4 linked regions of the Xenopus tropicalis genome follow. The protein of the gene in region 4 purifies or fractionates together with the protein of the main gene of each other region. This does not show direct contact. Links are inferred from orthologs where the notes say so. Each region holds a gene or a part of one and is shown on either strand. Other genes may lie near its edges.

Region 1 (4,022 bases), on a different chromosome or scaffold from region 4:
AATATCTGGGTTTTCTGGGGTCAGTGTTTTAGCCTTGCAGTGTATAGTAAGATCATTACTGGTGCGGAGCTTTACAATGTGCCTTTGCACTGCTGTGGGTTTTTGATCTATATGTCAGGAATGTCTATAAAACCATAAGGATTTGGCGTTTGCACTCAGCGAAAATTGGGCTTTCCACATAAGTATTTTCATGGATAAAAAGAATCCATGCTCTATATGCAGTTATATTAAGATATATTTTAAAATAAATATTTAGAGCCATATATCTTATTAAAACAGACTTCTTTCTGACTCTCCCCTGGTGGGGAAGAGTAAGTGCAGGGGGGTGCAAAAACATAGTCTGCATTAAAGGGGGCTAATGTTTTATTTTTAAAAATGAACATTTGGATTTTAAAGGAAAAGTAACATAAAATAAAAATTGAGAGTGTTTTACAGTAACTAAAATATAATGTATGGTTGCCCTACACTGGTACTATAGTTTGTATAAACAAAGCTTCTGTGTAGCCATGGGGGCAGCCATTCATGCTGGAAAAAAGGAGGAAAAGGACAGGGTGCATAGCAGATAATGGATGAGCTCTGTAAAATACAATGGGATTCTACTATGCAACCTGTTCCTTTTCTCCTCTTTCTGACTGAATGGCTGCCCCATGACTAAACAGCGGCTTATTTATATAAACTATAGTAATGTTTCTGACGCAAACGCACCAGTTTTACTAGTGTAGAGCAACAGTACATCATATTTCACTTACTTTAAAATATTTTTATTTTTTGGTGTTACTGTTTCTTTAAAGTTACCAGAAGCTCCACCTGTGGCCTGGCATTTAGTCATATTTATTATTATCAGCATGTAGTTATATATTCTGCAGCACTGTACAGAGTATATGAGTATAAATTGCACATACATATATGTACAATAACCTATAAAAGATACAAGAGCCCTGCCCAAAATCCAGAAAGCTGTTATTGCCCAAAAAAATTATATGTACATAGTTTTTTTCAAGTACATCACTAAGGAAAAGCTCCTAAAGCAAAAAAACACAAAAGGATGGAAAATTCCCTGACATTAAGGGCAATGAAAGTGCAGAAGTGGGCTGGCAGTGAAAGGGTTACAGGATTGTGTTGTACGCAGTGAAAGCTTTGAATAGAGACAGTAATTCCTTAGGTTCCAGTGCAGGAATGGGCCGGGGGGAATCGCAGCTGATGCACCGCATTGCCTCCCTGCTGCTGCTGCTACTGGCCGCACTGAGTTGCAGCGCTTCCTTTCTGCTTCCGGAGGCGATGATTTGCTGCAGATGACATCAGACGCGGTGGATGCTGGAAAAGAGACAGGCAGCTAATGTGATTCTCCTCCCAGGGTCCCAGCCCAGGCTCGCCGTATAAAAGGCTGCCCACCTCCCCTCCCCGGCTCACTCCCTGCTGCCTGCTCTTACCCGCCGGGTGTAGCCGAGTGAGGGAGACCAGGAGGAATATCAGTGAGAGGAAGCCTGCAGGGTGGGGGGATAGGATGGCAACCCTTGTGGAACCAGGACCGGCCATGGACCCAGCACACACCGTCCCGATCCCAGCAGCCTCCCCCAGCCTCTCGCACAGGTTCCTGGACAGTAAGTTCTACCTGCTGGTGGTTATTGGGGAGACAGTGACCGAGGAGCATGTGAGATGCGCCCTGAGCAACATCGAGAGAGGTAAGGACTGGCCAGAGACCCCCTATTAGGAAACCCCCCCCCCCTTCAGCATCCCTCTGTCAGACCCACAGGTTGCACTTGCTTTTGTTCCGGCTCGGCTCCTGCCTGTGGGCACAAATGCCACATCATTTTGTCGCATACCTTGGACAGAATTGATTTTGTAGCTGAACCGATGCACAAAATACCTGTGAGAAAGGACAATTGTGCCATTCAGTTTGGGGGAACAAAGGCAAATCTGGAGCAGCCACTCCCTTTTTTTCTGGACAGAAAATGTGGTGGGCTGCAGATCTAACAGTTGGCAAGGAAGGAGCCCCTCCCTCTGCTGCCACACTGAGAGCAGAACAACCTTCCTGCTGCCAAGCATGCCATTTTCTACTAAACCCGGGCTTCTGCTCATGCAATGTGCCAGTTATATGCCATGATAAGAGCAGATGGGCAGGGAGCTGCGGGTAAAGAGCTGGGGATGCTCAGCACTGCCTTTTCTATGTAACTCATCCAATCTCCATGGGGGAGAGGGGAAGTTTCAGTAGCACCGCTGGGTGTGCCGGGCCGGGTATGGAAGTGCCGGGCCGGGTATGGAAGTGCCGGGCTGGGTGTGGAAGTGCCGGGCTGGGTGTGGAAGTGCCAGGGATGGTACCCTTGGCTCTATTCTGGGCTGGCTGTAGGATAGCGGAGAGAGAACAGCTGCTTGGGGCCCCAGCATCACAGGGGTACGTGGGAGCAGGCAGATCAAGTTACAAAGGACATCATATAATAAATGATAATGGATATTTTTAATAAATAGATAGTGAATGTGCAACCCGCAACCCCCCAGCCGATGTGGTACTGCAGCTCTGCACATCTCTCCGACAGCTGCCTGTTCCCCAACAGCTGGAGGAACAGCAGGTTGGCTATCTCTGCCATCCTGAATAGCCGGGGGCCCCGCCCCAGATAACCTGGCTGTTCTACCCTTGCCATGCTCCCATCTCAAGGACGTGCAGCGCAGACTGGGGCAGCGCCATGTACAGAGCAGCGCATCCTGCCATGCCCCACGCCCAGCCATGCTTATTGGATTGATAGCAAGAGGAATATCCAGTATGTGGCCCTCCAGTCAGGCGCCTCCTGCTAACATGGGGTGCCACTAATTATAGCTAACAACGAACTGGAGGGCCACAGGCTGGACATTGCTGGTGCCATACAGGTGTCAGGGTTAGAATTGGTCCTGATAGCAATGGGATGCTTCCCCCCTTGGTTTATTATAGACTAATGCTGGTGAGATTGCCTGTATATTGCCATATACATGGCTCTAAATGATATTTGCACTGAATAGGGAACCCCTTTCCCCGGTATGGCAAGCAGCTGAGTATATAAGCGGTGCCAGGACAGGCAGTGCCATGCTTGCTGCGGGAAGCTCGGAGGCGCCCATGGAGCGGATCTCCCAGCGCTACCGGATCCAACTTGCAGGAGCGCCGCGGTGCCGGCTGGGGTGGGCGTGGCGCAGTCCGCACTGCGGTCCCTACGGCAACGCACAGTGGGCAGAGAGCGTTCCTGCGGGCAGCCAATAGGGAAAGGGCATGTGCTGGGCTCAGTCAGGCGGCGCTTGTTGCTGTGTCACTTTCCCAGCACAAATCTGCTGCTTCATTCATGCTCCTGTCGCACCCACTTGCACACATTCACTCGAAGGCGACTAAACGCTTCTTTTTATTCTAGATTCTGTTTAGGTAATCAATTCCATACCATAGTGGCTTCTTTCATTTTGCCGGAGATCTAGTAGATAAGCACTGTAACATAATTGTATTTAATCTCTAATACTAAAGAGGGCAGGGTGAGGGGCATGGTTTTACCTGCATTTCTAGTTAAGGAATAGAGAGAATTCTATGTGGGCCCTGTACAAGGTGCAAGATGAGCGACTCTAATTGAATATAAAGAGGGAGTGCACTAGTTTCTCTAGATGGTATTATGTGTCAGGGTGAAGACACACAGAGCTACTAGTAGCAGCTACTTGTCACTGCTACAAAATTAGACAATGCTTATCATTTAGTGATAATTGGCTCTATGTGTGTTTTAGCAGAGGCAATTCTCAGTATTGTCTGGCAGGGTATTTTCTGGCATTTAGTAGCGTGACAAGTAGCTGCTACTAAGTAGCTTGTGTGTCTTCGCCCTTAACCTTTACCTCAGCTGCTCAGTTGCACATAATTACCTGCCCCCTTTTGCCCTGCTATTGTCACCCCCTGGCACAGTCTGATAATGCACAAGATTCACAAGGCTATTACCCACATCAGTTCTGAGGGGACCGATCACAGCAAGAAAGCCCAGTTACAGTTGGGTAGCAGTAGGGCATATTTATTGTTAGTGGGGCCT
Region 2 (4,114 bases), on a different chromosome or scaffold from region 4:
AAAGAGGAGCTTCTGATTGAAAATTGTTGTTAATAGTTGATACGCAAAGAACTATCATCGCTTATGGTGATAAAGTACTACCATTACTTGATAATTACCGTATTTGATACTGTATTAATATTATATTCAGCAAACCAAGCCAAAAAACATAAAGGTAACAGGTATTGACTTCCAAATGTACTAAGAAATGAAGGCATGATTACACACTCATATATATATTTGTCTTAGATAATGAGCACAGAATGAGCCAGGCACTGAAGTCACTCTTAAGGTGGCCGTCCACAAGCAGATTTAAGCTGCCAAATCGGGTCCTTAAAGCTGGCCATACACGCACCGATAATATCGTATGAAACCTTGTTTCGTACGATATTTGGTGCGTGTATGGCAAGTAGGCGAGTCGACCGATATCGCAGGAGGCTGCTGATATTCGTCGACCCGCCGATCGGGCGGTTTAAAAGATTTTGATCGGGCGCCATTGAAGGCGCCTGAGCAAAATCTGCCTTAGTGGCGGATTGGAACGATCTTTCGTGCAAATCACCACGTGTGTGGCCACCTTTAGACTTATCAAGCAGTTTATCTACCCGTGTATAGGACCCTCTGACAGGCCTCCCTGTCTGATATTTGGCCAAAAATCAGCCAGATGTCAATCAGGCAGGCTTGATTTTACTGCCATATCAAGGGCCACATTGGCTCATTGATGCGGTCCTCGCTACAACGTTTTATATCCCCTTTATTTTAATGATATAGTTTGGCCCTAAGTGCTAAAGACAAAATAAAATGATGTACATTGGAAAGTTGCTAAGTGATTCTAATAGAATCCCTAAACTTTCTAAGAAGAATTTGGAATACCAACTCCAAAACACCCAAGCAGAAAATAAAAATATCAAACGTTATGCACAGGACACTGCAATGATCCTACTGTCAGCAGAATCAATGAACCACAGAATAGGCTGACAGTGTCCTCTTACGCAGTTCTAGTAATATAATACGAACATAAGGGCTGACATTACAATGGTACATTTTATATTGGGGTTGTAAAGTTCGTGAAGCTACAACTCGTGAAAGTCAGCAAGAACCCTGTTCTGATTTTCACAGTATTATGCTGCTTGATATAACTGAACACAACTTCAGTGACTAGCACCTCTCCTACTACATGTGATAGAACCGCTCAGCCCTTCGAGTCTCCCCTCACTCGAGGTGGGCGTGTCTCGTCCGCCCCCTACCCGTTGCTGAGTGGCCGGCGCTGACTTCATTCCCGTGCCGCTTTGCGGGGTGATGTCACTTGCAAGATGGCGGCGACTCGGGCGGGTCCCGGGCATCTGCGGTGCTCCGTGCTCATAGTGTACGGGGAGATCCGCCGGGGGCCTGGCCTTGTGCGCAGGGCGGTGAGCGAACTAAAGAGAGGTAGGTGCCATAGGGCGGAATAGGGAGAAGGTGTATAGAGTTTGAGCCCCTCCTTCCCTGTCTGCCGGGTGATGTGCTGGCCATTGGATTTTTCCCATACCAGTAGGGGTTTCAAATGCATGACAGTGTGCCTGGGTATGTACATGGCATTTGGTGTACCAGATGCAGGAAAAGGTGATGTGCGGTGTTAGCCAGTCAAAAAATGTTTACAGGGTAACCCTTTTGAAATAAATAATAACAAAAGTGGTATAAAGGTGATGCCTTTATTGGCTAACTAAGATAATCATAGCAAGCTTTCAGAACATTTTAGTTCCTTTTTCAGGTAATCAGCTTGAAAAGGAACTAAAATGTTCTGAAAGCTTGCAATGATTATCTTAGTTAGCCAATAAAGGTATCACCTTTATACCACTTTTGTTATTTTTTATTTCAAAAGGTGTACCAGATGTGACGGCGTTTTAGTTCCGTATAGGTGACTGTATAGCCAAGTAGCATTCATATTCATGCATGTGGATAGCTGCCTGGGTGTCTCATGGGCATTGGACTCCTGAGTGGAGCCGTACAAGGGGATGTCCATGTTGAAACTGTTCTTTGCGCGTTGAAAGAAATTCTTTCTAGGCAACTTTCCATTCTATAATGATGATTATGTTGTTTGCAAATGTAGTTGCTATTGAACGCTGCATTTGTGTGACTGTTTATATTCATTGCACTTTAGTTTTTGGCTTTTGAAAGGTGGCAGGAGCCAGCTGATAAAAATAGAGGAAAACTTACTTAGAAAAAGGATAGCTTACTGTTTTCACCTGAAATTTACATTTATAAATAATTTAAATTCATTGACATTGCAATGTATATTGGAAAGTTGTTTAGAATAACAGTTTCTTGTATTATGCAAAGTATCTGTAAACGTGCATTTATGAGCATGGTAAGCATAAGCTTTTGTAGGTACGTTTACCCCTTTTGCATGTGCTTTAACATCATTATAATTCCAAAAACCTGGAGAGTACACTTATTTGCAGTGAATCAGTGTAGTTTTATTGAGACATCTTAAGCACATATAATTCCAAAAACCTGGAGAGTACACTTATTTACAGTGAACCAGTGTAGTTTTTAACATCATTACCTGGAAACCGTCGGAGAATAGGTACAGAAAAATGCAGTGTACACATAGTTAATAGTATTCATGCAAAGCAATTCTAAGTGCAAACAATATGGTTAGATTAGAAAATGATTGAATGTGCTTAAAGGTCATGTCAACCCCAAAAATAATTTTTTGCATAATAAAAGAAAACATAATTCTAAGTAATTTTCAAATATGAACTAATTAAAAATTTGTAGCATTTTAAAACTTATTTGTAAATGTAATCCTGGTTGTTACTTTTTAAACAATGTTACAACTGTCAGTCTCCTCCAGCAATACAGGTCTGTCAGTCTGCTGCCTTGTGTTACATTGTTTCAACAGTCAGAGCCACCAGGGCAGAGAATAGAAAAGGACAGGCAAACACTGCTTTTAATATATATACAAATAACTCAAAAATCATTACAAATTTGTAATAAATGTATATTGCAAAGCTGCTTAGAATTTTGTTTTGTTTTATTAGGCAAAAAAAATTATATTTTGCGTTGCCTTGTCCTTTAAATGTGAGTCCTGTTCTTCCCTCTTTTGATTTATTTGTTGCTGTGTATTCCTGTAAATAGAAATATACACACACACTCTGTATTTCTTAGTGACAACAAGCTCTGTGGCACTGATCTGTAAACACAATGTATGGGTTTGTAGTTGGCACTTTGAGAAGTATGACTTGTGCTGGGAGCCTAGAAAGATACAAAGCCAAAAACAGGAAATATGTAAGTGTTTGACTTTGTTTCCGGATTACTTCATTCTTATCTTGTGCATTCACAGCTTCTCATGTTCATTCATTTTTGACATGGCCTCTGCCTACTACCCACATATGTGGTTCCACACCTTAGCATGTTGTTAGATGTACCCCTAATGTATGGCACCATTTTGACCACTTACATATGACATTTAACTAAATGTCTCTTGAAAACAGCTTTGTATGTCTAGTATTCTGTGGTTGTATTTTAAGCTTTTAGATGGTTAAAAAATTTTTTTCTTTACCTCTTATATCTGTTATTGGCTGCTTTGTTTGTAAATATGTATGGTCAATGTATATACCCATTTATTGTACAGTGCTGCAGGATATGTTGGTGCTCTAAATATGCCATAGACACACAGGGCTCACTTTCCCCTAGCAGAAAAGACATACAACATACAAAGAAAGAGCCTTCTACAAAACATTTCTCTTACGTAAAATAAACAGGGCAGATATTAGATTAAACCACATATAATATATATATATATATATATATATATATATATAATATTGTGGGAAGATTAGCTTTTGTACTGCTAGAAAGCAAGATTTGTGAACAAAAAATAGACATGACACAAATTTACCATAATCAGGACTTTTCCTTTTTATTTACAGTTAATCAACACAGTTTGTTCACAGGTTCTTTTGACCAGCCATATTGACCACAGTACCAAAAATAAATCTTGCTCATATGAGCATTACTTTATACTTTTGGTACCTTCCCTAATTAAAAGGGCTGGTACTCAAGAGTGTTCCTTTCTGCATTTCTGTTTGTGACCTTCTTTTCTGACTTCAGTTGGACTAATGTACAGTTTTACACAGCTTTAACCACTCATGGA
Region 3 (4,105 bases), on a different chromosome or scaffold from region 4:
ATTCTAGCTGGGCATTGGAGGCAAGTGTTTGTTACACATCTAGGACAATAAGGCCATCACTTTATGAGACTTTTTTTTATCATAGTGTCCCTTTTAACCAGCATTTCTCAACCATTATAGGACAACTAACTCCTTGCACTATATGGAATTATAATGTTAGTATTTATTCACAAAGCTGCAAAACCAATTCCCAGGGACAGCTTCTATAGCAAACCAATCCCCACAGTGTACATACATTCTGGTTAGGGCTTATAGGTACTTTCTCTGCACCTGGGGTAAACTGCTTGCTCATTGTTTTGACATTACCGTACTAGAGGAAAGGGCATTAATCATTAAGGTGCATGCAACAGGGTGTCAGGCACAATAATTTAATCTGCAAAAGTCTGGTGTTGGAAATTTGGAAGGCTACTCATTCCATTATTACAGGAAATATTTCCACATATTCCACAAAGAATTGCATTGTTACATAGATATTTACTGCTCCACACATATACACATAGAAAAGGCTTTATACAGATAAACTGCACATTGTACTTTGTGCCACATAGTGCATGAGCATTGTAGCAAGGGAGCCCTGCTTACATCATGAATTATGTGCAAGGAACAGCATGCATGGGTACTGGACGCAGTGTGAGATTGAGGAGTACAGGGCACAGCTAGGCAGCCTCAGTGCAACCCCCCCCCCCCAGTCATGAAACGCGTGGGAACTGGGTGCGAATAGGAGGGGTGTAGCCTGTTATTTGTGCCATGTGTGACTATTCAAGTAACTGTACAATCCTTTTATAAATCAAATGTTGTATTGGGTTGAAGTTTGCCACTGGCTTGAATGGCCAGCTACACTGTGGAAAAAAAACTCACAGAGCTTGTTCCCTTGTTGTGCTAGTGCAGCATAACAAACCAAGCAGAATTAAATCCACTTCATTGCAAAGAAATGAAATTCACCAGTACTCAATATTGTTTTTAAATATCCCTGAACTGCTTTTTTACCACCTCAGGCCTACCCTACAGGGCAATAACCATTGGTCAAGCATGCTAACTCATACAATAAAACGCACGCTGTGTGGGTGGGTGGGCATATTTGTATTACAATAAGTTGATAGCATGTATTGAGCATTGTTTACAGGGCAGTCATTCCAGCAGTGCGTACTGCAGCATGCGGATATTCTTTGTCACAACAAACATGTCAGCTGTGCGCTGTAAATGATGGCAGGGATGTACACAGAACATAGCACCATCGCAACTACTCTGACACAGTTCCAACCAGCAAACCAAACAGCCAATGCTAAACGGGGTGCGGCGCCTGCGTCATAGCCTGTTGCAATTGCTGCGCATGCGTCTTTCAACAGACAAGGAGAGAAGAAAAGTTTTTCGGGAGATACTGGGAAGGGTCGCGCTAGGCGGCTTGGGTATAGTTGGGGCGGCGGTGGGTTTGGGTGCGGGCACTGGATGCATGCGTTGGGCACTCCGAAAGGGCAGCGGGATGTACCAGCTATCACTAGCAGCTCACAGGTGGGCGTTGGAGGAGATGTTCGTGACCCGCAGCTGAATAAAAGCAGCGCCGCTCGCCCCTGAACACAAGGCGCTGGGTGTGCGTGTGGGACCCTGCCCCGGGGAAGTAATGCTGCGCGGAGCGGCTGAGTGAGCCAGTGTGGGGGCGCCACAGCCGAGGGGCGGGAATGTTGTTATCCAGAAAGAAAACCAAGAAAGAAGTTTCCAAGCCTGCGGAGGTGCAGGGGAAGTACGTGAAGAAAGAGACCTCCCCGCTGCTGCGGAGTGAGTGATGGGGTAGTTTTATATGGGCATTGGGAGGGGCGCGACAGTAGCCCAGCTCTCACCTTTTGTTTGGGAAAGTAACTTTGCGGCATCTTTATCAAGGGCCGAATACAACTTCCCATACAATCCACCAGAAAGCTACACCAGCCTGTAATACAGTGCCTGTATGCGCTACTTATAATTACATTTATATGTTGACAATTTTAATTTAGATATTTTGAAGGAATGAATAATAAAATGTATGCACTGCTCTGCAGATAATTTCATGTAATTCCAGCACCCCAATAACAGTACCACCCCCCACATGCCCTGCTTACTGTGCTCATACTATGTTTGAGGGACCTATTTAAAGTATTTATGCCACCTTGCTTTATGCACGCTGGCAATTTTGGTTTCAGACAGAGGCAGTTTGATGAGACCAAGTGAAGTCTATAGAGTATATATTAGGATATTCTTATTTTATTTACATGTCTGTAGGAGCCTGTCCGTATTCATTCACTTCAGTTCTTTGGCCTTTATGCTTCACACCCCCCCTTTATCTTCTGCTGTCTGGGAAGACACACAATAGCTACTTAGTAGCAGCTATTTGTCAGGCTACTAAACGCCAAAAAATACCCTGCCAAAAACAATTGCCTCTGCTGCTAAAAACACGTAAAGACAATTATCCGTAAATGATCAGCATTGTCTATTTTGGTAGCTGTGGCAAGTAGCTGCTACTAGTAGCTCCATGTGGCTTCACCCTTAGGGCTGTGACACACGGGATGCCGCATATGCCATCCCACTGGCAATTTAAATTTTAGCTGGCGGGATGGCATTTTGGGGAGATTAGTCGCTCGGCGACTAATCTCCCCAAGTGTCACAGCCCTTAGGGAGGACTGAGCATTGATATTCTAGAAGTATGAATGGAAGAGGGCTGAGAAAGATAAAGAAAAGAGAAGAGGACAATGGAGGAGGGATGAGGGGAGGATCGTGGAGGTCTGTGAACTGATTGAGGAGTTTATACAGGTCATACAGTGGCTGAGCACTGAATACACACTGTGGATGTAAATAAAAATATCTACCTAAATAGGTTTGGTGAGGCAGATGGAAAATTCAGACCATATTACCTGGGCCACTTAGCATGTATGGCAATGGGTAGGGGACTGTTTTAACTGAGCTTTCGGCAACGACAGCATATTGTACCCTCTCTCAACTTAAAATTAAATCAGCCAGTGCATCTTTTCATCATGTGATGAAGAACAGACTATTTGGCAATCCATATGACTAAATAATGCAATGTCAAACTGCCCAATCCTCAGGCAAATAGGTTGGCCACAAGTGTGAGATTAGAGATCACTACAGAAAAACTCATCCACTTTCTATTTATTTCTATTGGGTTTTTAGAGGCACATTTATCAAATGGTGAACTCTAACTTTCACCCATTGATAAATACACTTCCATAGAAATGAATAGAAAGTGGATGAGTTTTTTCGGTGTGGATCTCTAATTTTAAACTTCAATAAATATTTCCTTATGTGTGGCCACCTTTAACCATTGTGTATCTGTAAAGATTGTCCAATTTTTCATAGTCTGTTTTTTAACACTATAAATACACTTACATTGTCTCATTAACACAAAATGAATATGACAGTAGTGTATTTAAAGGAAATGTGCAAATCAAGTAGCAGAGGCAGTCTGTCAGTGAAATAATATTTTTATAGCTGTTAAATCAGTCCTCCTATATCTGGTCAATTTTCTGAAGGGCCTATTTTAAAACCTGACACACTTAGAATTTCCTATAGGCTTTGTCCTTATTTTTTCTATTGGATCAATTCATTGGTTACTTGTGCACCCTAACCAGTTGCATAACTTGAAAGGTCATTGGTTCATTTCTCCCTTGCAAAGGCAAAGGCAAACAGACTCAGCATATCACAAATCTAACATACTGTTATGTTAGATTTACAGCATTCTGTCGCAGGATGCTGTGTCAGACTGACAGGAGGCACAGCCGGTAAGTGTTAAGTCTGCTGCCAATACTATGCGTGACATAAGGAAGTAAAAAAGCAACTGTAGTGTTTACAGACCCCCACCCCCCCAGCACAGGGTCTGTGCAAAAATAAAGGATGAGCTGAGGGATGATTCTGAGGTCAATATCTCTTCAGCTGCACATAATATGTTTACTGTGTATTTTGCAAAGATTGTACAACATACACAAATCTAAACGTTCACATTAATAGAAAAAAGGCAAACAACCCCTTTTAAAGGAGCAGTTCAGTGTAAAAATAAAAATAATTGTCAAAATAGACTGCGCAAAATATAAAATGTTTTCAATATAGTTAGGCAAAAATTTAA
Region 4 (2,683 bases):
AGTTATATGTTAACAAAGACTAATGCGACCTGCTCAGTTATATTATTTGCCAATCCATTCTTCTCCCAGTCACCAGTCTGTCAAGGTATAATCTTCTCTTAGTAGCCATACAATATGTGTCACAAGTGATTCTGTAATGGAAAGGGTTTCCCTTCGTCACACATACGGTCACACAGAGAGAGGGGCTCAAGGTACATAAATTATAATGGGGTCATAGTGAACAAAGGGAGGCAACATCTTGGAGGGGCTTACGGAGCACTCAAACTACAAAACGTGACTGGTGAAAGCCAATAAATGTGAGGGCCAAGTAATACAATATTCCTGCCCTGAGTGCTTACTGAATTCACACATACCAGCATCACAGACAGGAGAGGATTCTGTCTGTGCATTACTCATAACGTACCAGACTCATGAAGAGATTGCTCTTTATCTGAGAATTATAAGCCTTTATTTTCTGTTCTAGCTCTGCCTTGCTCAGGGCCTGCGGCTGCTTTTCTGGCTTTTCGTCCTGTAAGAAAAAGAAACCACATATTACATAAACCATTTAATGTTGAAAACCTTAAGCTTAAGGATTAGGGAGGGTCAAAAGTCAGAAAAACTGATTTCAATAGAGCAGCACCTTCCCCACAACACAAATCTACCTGCAAATGGAGAGGCAGCACAGCCTTGCACTACAGGCAGGCAAATAGCTGTGCTGCAGTGAGCGAAGGAGCCCAACGGAATTTCCATTAAAAAGGTAGTTAACTTGTAGTATGTTACAGAATGGTCCTTTCTTGGAAACTTTTCAGTTAGTCTTCATTTTTTATTTGTTAAAGTTTTTGAATGATTTGACTTTCTCTTTTTCCAGCTTTCCAATGGGGGCCACTGATGCCAACAGCAATTGCTCTGTGAGGCTACAATTTTATTGTTATTGTTACTTTCTATGACTTGTCTTTCTATTTAGGCTCTTCCCTATTCATATTTCTGTCTCTCCTCTAAACCACTGCCTGGCTACCAGGTTAAATTGGACCCCAGCAACCAGATAGCTCCTGAATTTCCAAACTGGAGAGCTGCTGAACAAAAAGCTAAATAAATCAAAAACTGAAAATAATAAAAAATGAAAACCAATTCCAAATTGTCTCAAAATAGCACTCTCTGCATGATACTAAAAGTTAATTTAAAGGTGAACAACCTCTTTAAGCCAGCAGTGATATCCTGGGGGCTCATCTGCTACCCTTTACTAGAACAAAAACAGAAGCAACAAACATCTAATAGGGTCAGAAGAAATGCCTTTAGGTCACAAAGAACAAACTGAAAAGGATAATTTACAAAGACAGTTCCAATTGTACCAGAACAGTAACCCATAGCAACCAGACAATGTATTATTCTAACTGCACTAGACTGACTGGTTGCTGTGGATCAGTGCTCTAGAACAATTCCGAACTGATACCAGTAAATAAAAACTACAAATTGATGAAAAAAAAAGTGATAGAAGACATTGTGTAATACTGTTTAAAACAGAGCAGAATTGGAAAAATCTTGAAAAATAATCACTTTTGGCACCAAAACGCAGATGTTCATTTCCTGTTTCTCATGTGACTCAGCTTCCTTTCTAGTTAGTAATACGTCTTTTCTTAAGGTGCCATACACAGGCAGATTTGAACTGCAGATTCGAGTCCTTTAGACCGATTTGGCAGCATATCTGGGGACCCCCGACAGCCCTTCCCGATCAATATCTGGTTAAAAATTGGCCAGGTGTTGATCGGCAAAGTTTGATTTTTTAGACAGACTGGGGACTGCGTTGGCTCATTGATGTGTTCCTCGCTCCGACTGCTCCTATCTCTGGCCTATAGCCAAACAATCTAATTAGCCCAATATCACCCACCTTAGGTGGGCATATTGGGGAAAGATCCCCTTGTTTGGCAAGATCTTGTAATCTATGGCCACGTTGAAAGCTCAGAGCAATCAGGGCGCTAGACATCAGGCAGGTTTTGTTACTCTTTACCCAAAAGCCCCTGTGGGGCTGCTGTGAGTTGCCACAGATTGGTGCTTAGTATTGGGCTTGTGTGGGGCTGTTTGGACCTTTCTGCCCATGAAATGCCATGGCCCATTTTGTACCTCAGCCCAGAAGTGGCAGTGGCCTATAGGATGAATGTTAAAATACACTCAAAAAGGAGTAAGATCCATCTGCCTCAGTCAGACAAAGGGCCTGCATGTATATTGCAACAATCTTGCTCTCTCTAATATATAAACTAGCCCTAGGCATGCCTAATGAAAACATCTGGCTCCAAGCAGACCCTGTAGAAGCTGTGGGTGCATTACTGGCTCATTAATTCTGCCTTGTAAAACCACATCCAGAGGCAAATAACTATCCTACAAAGGCACTAAAGACAAAATGGAGCTGTGACTTCCTCTTTGCACTTATTCCTGTAATCGGTTTGTCTATGATGTCCTCCTCCTGTCTCCCTCCCCTCCCTCCCTAAATCTCCCAGTTTAGTCAGCGTTGCATCAGGCTGGTACTGGAAAGGTGGGGAGCGAAGGGGAGGAAAGAGGCTGGAGAAGGGCTCATCCGGTACTTTATGAGAAGCCTGCTCCTACCCAGACCTGCAGGGTTTGGGATAAGGTGGGGAGTGTTCTTGTTCCAAGTCCTGGGAACAGCAAGTCCCGGAAGGCCGAGAGGAAGGAAATGCGGCACACACCCTGT

The links.
Region 1: the proteins of rassf1 (region 4) and map1b purify together in Homo sapiens (affinity purification with mass spectrometry; 3 studies listed by BioGRID and IntAct, counting the BioPlex papers as one, with this or other methods). This does not show direct contact. The link is inferred for Xenopus tropicalis from reciprocal best matches to the Homo sapiens genes RASSF1 and MAP1B.
Region 2: the proteins of rassf1 (region 4) and map1s purify together in Homo sapiens (affinity purification with mass spectrometry; 4 studies listed by BioGRID and IntAct, counting the BioPlex papers as one, with this or other methods). This does not show direct contact. The link is inferred for Xenopus tropicalis from reciprocal best matches to the Homo sapiens genes RASSF1 and MAP1S.
Region 3: the proteins of rassf1 (region 4) and sav1 purify together in Homo sapiens (affinity purification with western blotting; 3 studies listed by BioGRID, with this or other methods). This does not show direct contact. The link is inferred for Xenopus tropicalis from reciprocal best matches to the Homo sapiens genes RASSF1 and SAV1.

What each region holds. Positions count from the first base shown.
Region 1 is NC_030677.2:182,786,130-182,790,151, forward strand, and holds the start of map1b (microtubule-associated protein 1B), read left to right. Parts: upstream 1-1,199; 5' UTR 1,200-1,504; coding exon 1,505-1,682; intron 1,683-4,022. UniProt on the Homo sapiens protein: Facilitates tyrosination of alpha-tubulin in neuronal microtubules. Phosphorylated MAP1B is required for proper microtubule dynamics and plays a role in the cytoskeletal changes that accompany neuronal differentiation and neurite extension.
Region 2 is NC_030677.2:110,980,872-110,984,985, forward strand, and holds the start of map1s (microtubule-associated protein 1S), read left to right. Parts: upstream 1-1,253; 5' UTR 1,254-1,289; coding exon 1,290-1,404; intron 1,405-4,114. UniProt on the Homo sapiens protein: Microtubule-associated protein that mediates aggregation of mitochondria resulting in cell death and genomic destruction (MAGD). Plays a role in anchoring the microtubule organizing center to the centrosomes. Binds to DNA. Plays a role in apoptosis.
Region 3 is NC_030684.2:93,082,731-93,086,835, reverse strand, and holds the start of sav1 (protein salvador homolog 1), read left to right. Parts: upstream 1-1,284; 5' UTR 1,285-1,676; coding exon of another isoform or gene 1,677-1,773; intron 1,774-4,105. UniProt on the Homo sapiens protein: Regulator of STK3/MST2 and STK4/MST1 in the Hippo signaling pathway which plays a pivotal role in organ size control and tumor suppression by restricting proliferation and promoting apoptosis.
Region 4 is NC_030680.2:127,214,022-127,216,704, forward strand, and holds part of rassf1 (ras association domain-containing protein 1), read right to left. Parts: intron 509-2,683; coding exon 404-508; intron 1-403. UniProt on the Homo sapiens protein: Potential tumor suppressor. Required for death receptor-dependent apoptosis. Mediates activation of STK3/MST2 and STK4/MST1 during Fas-induced apoptosis by preventing their dephosphorylation.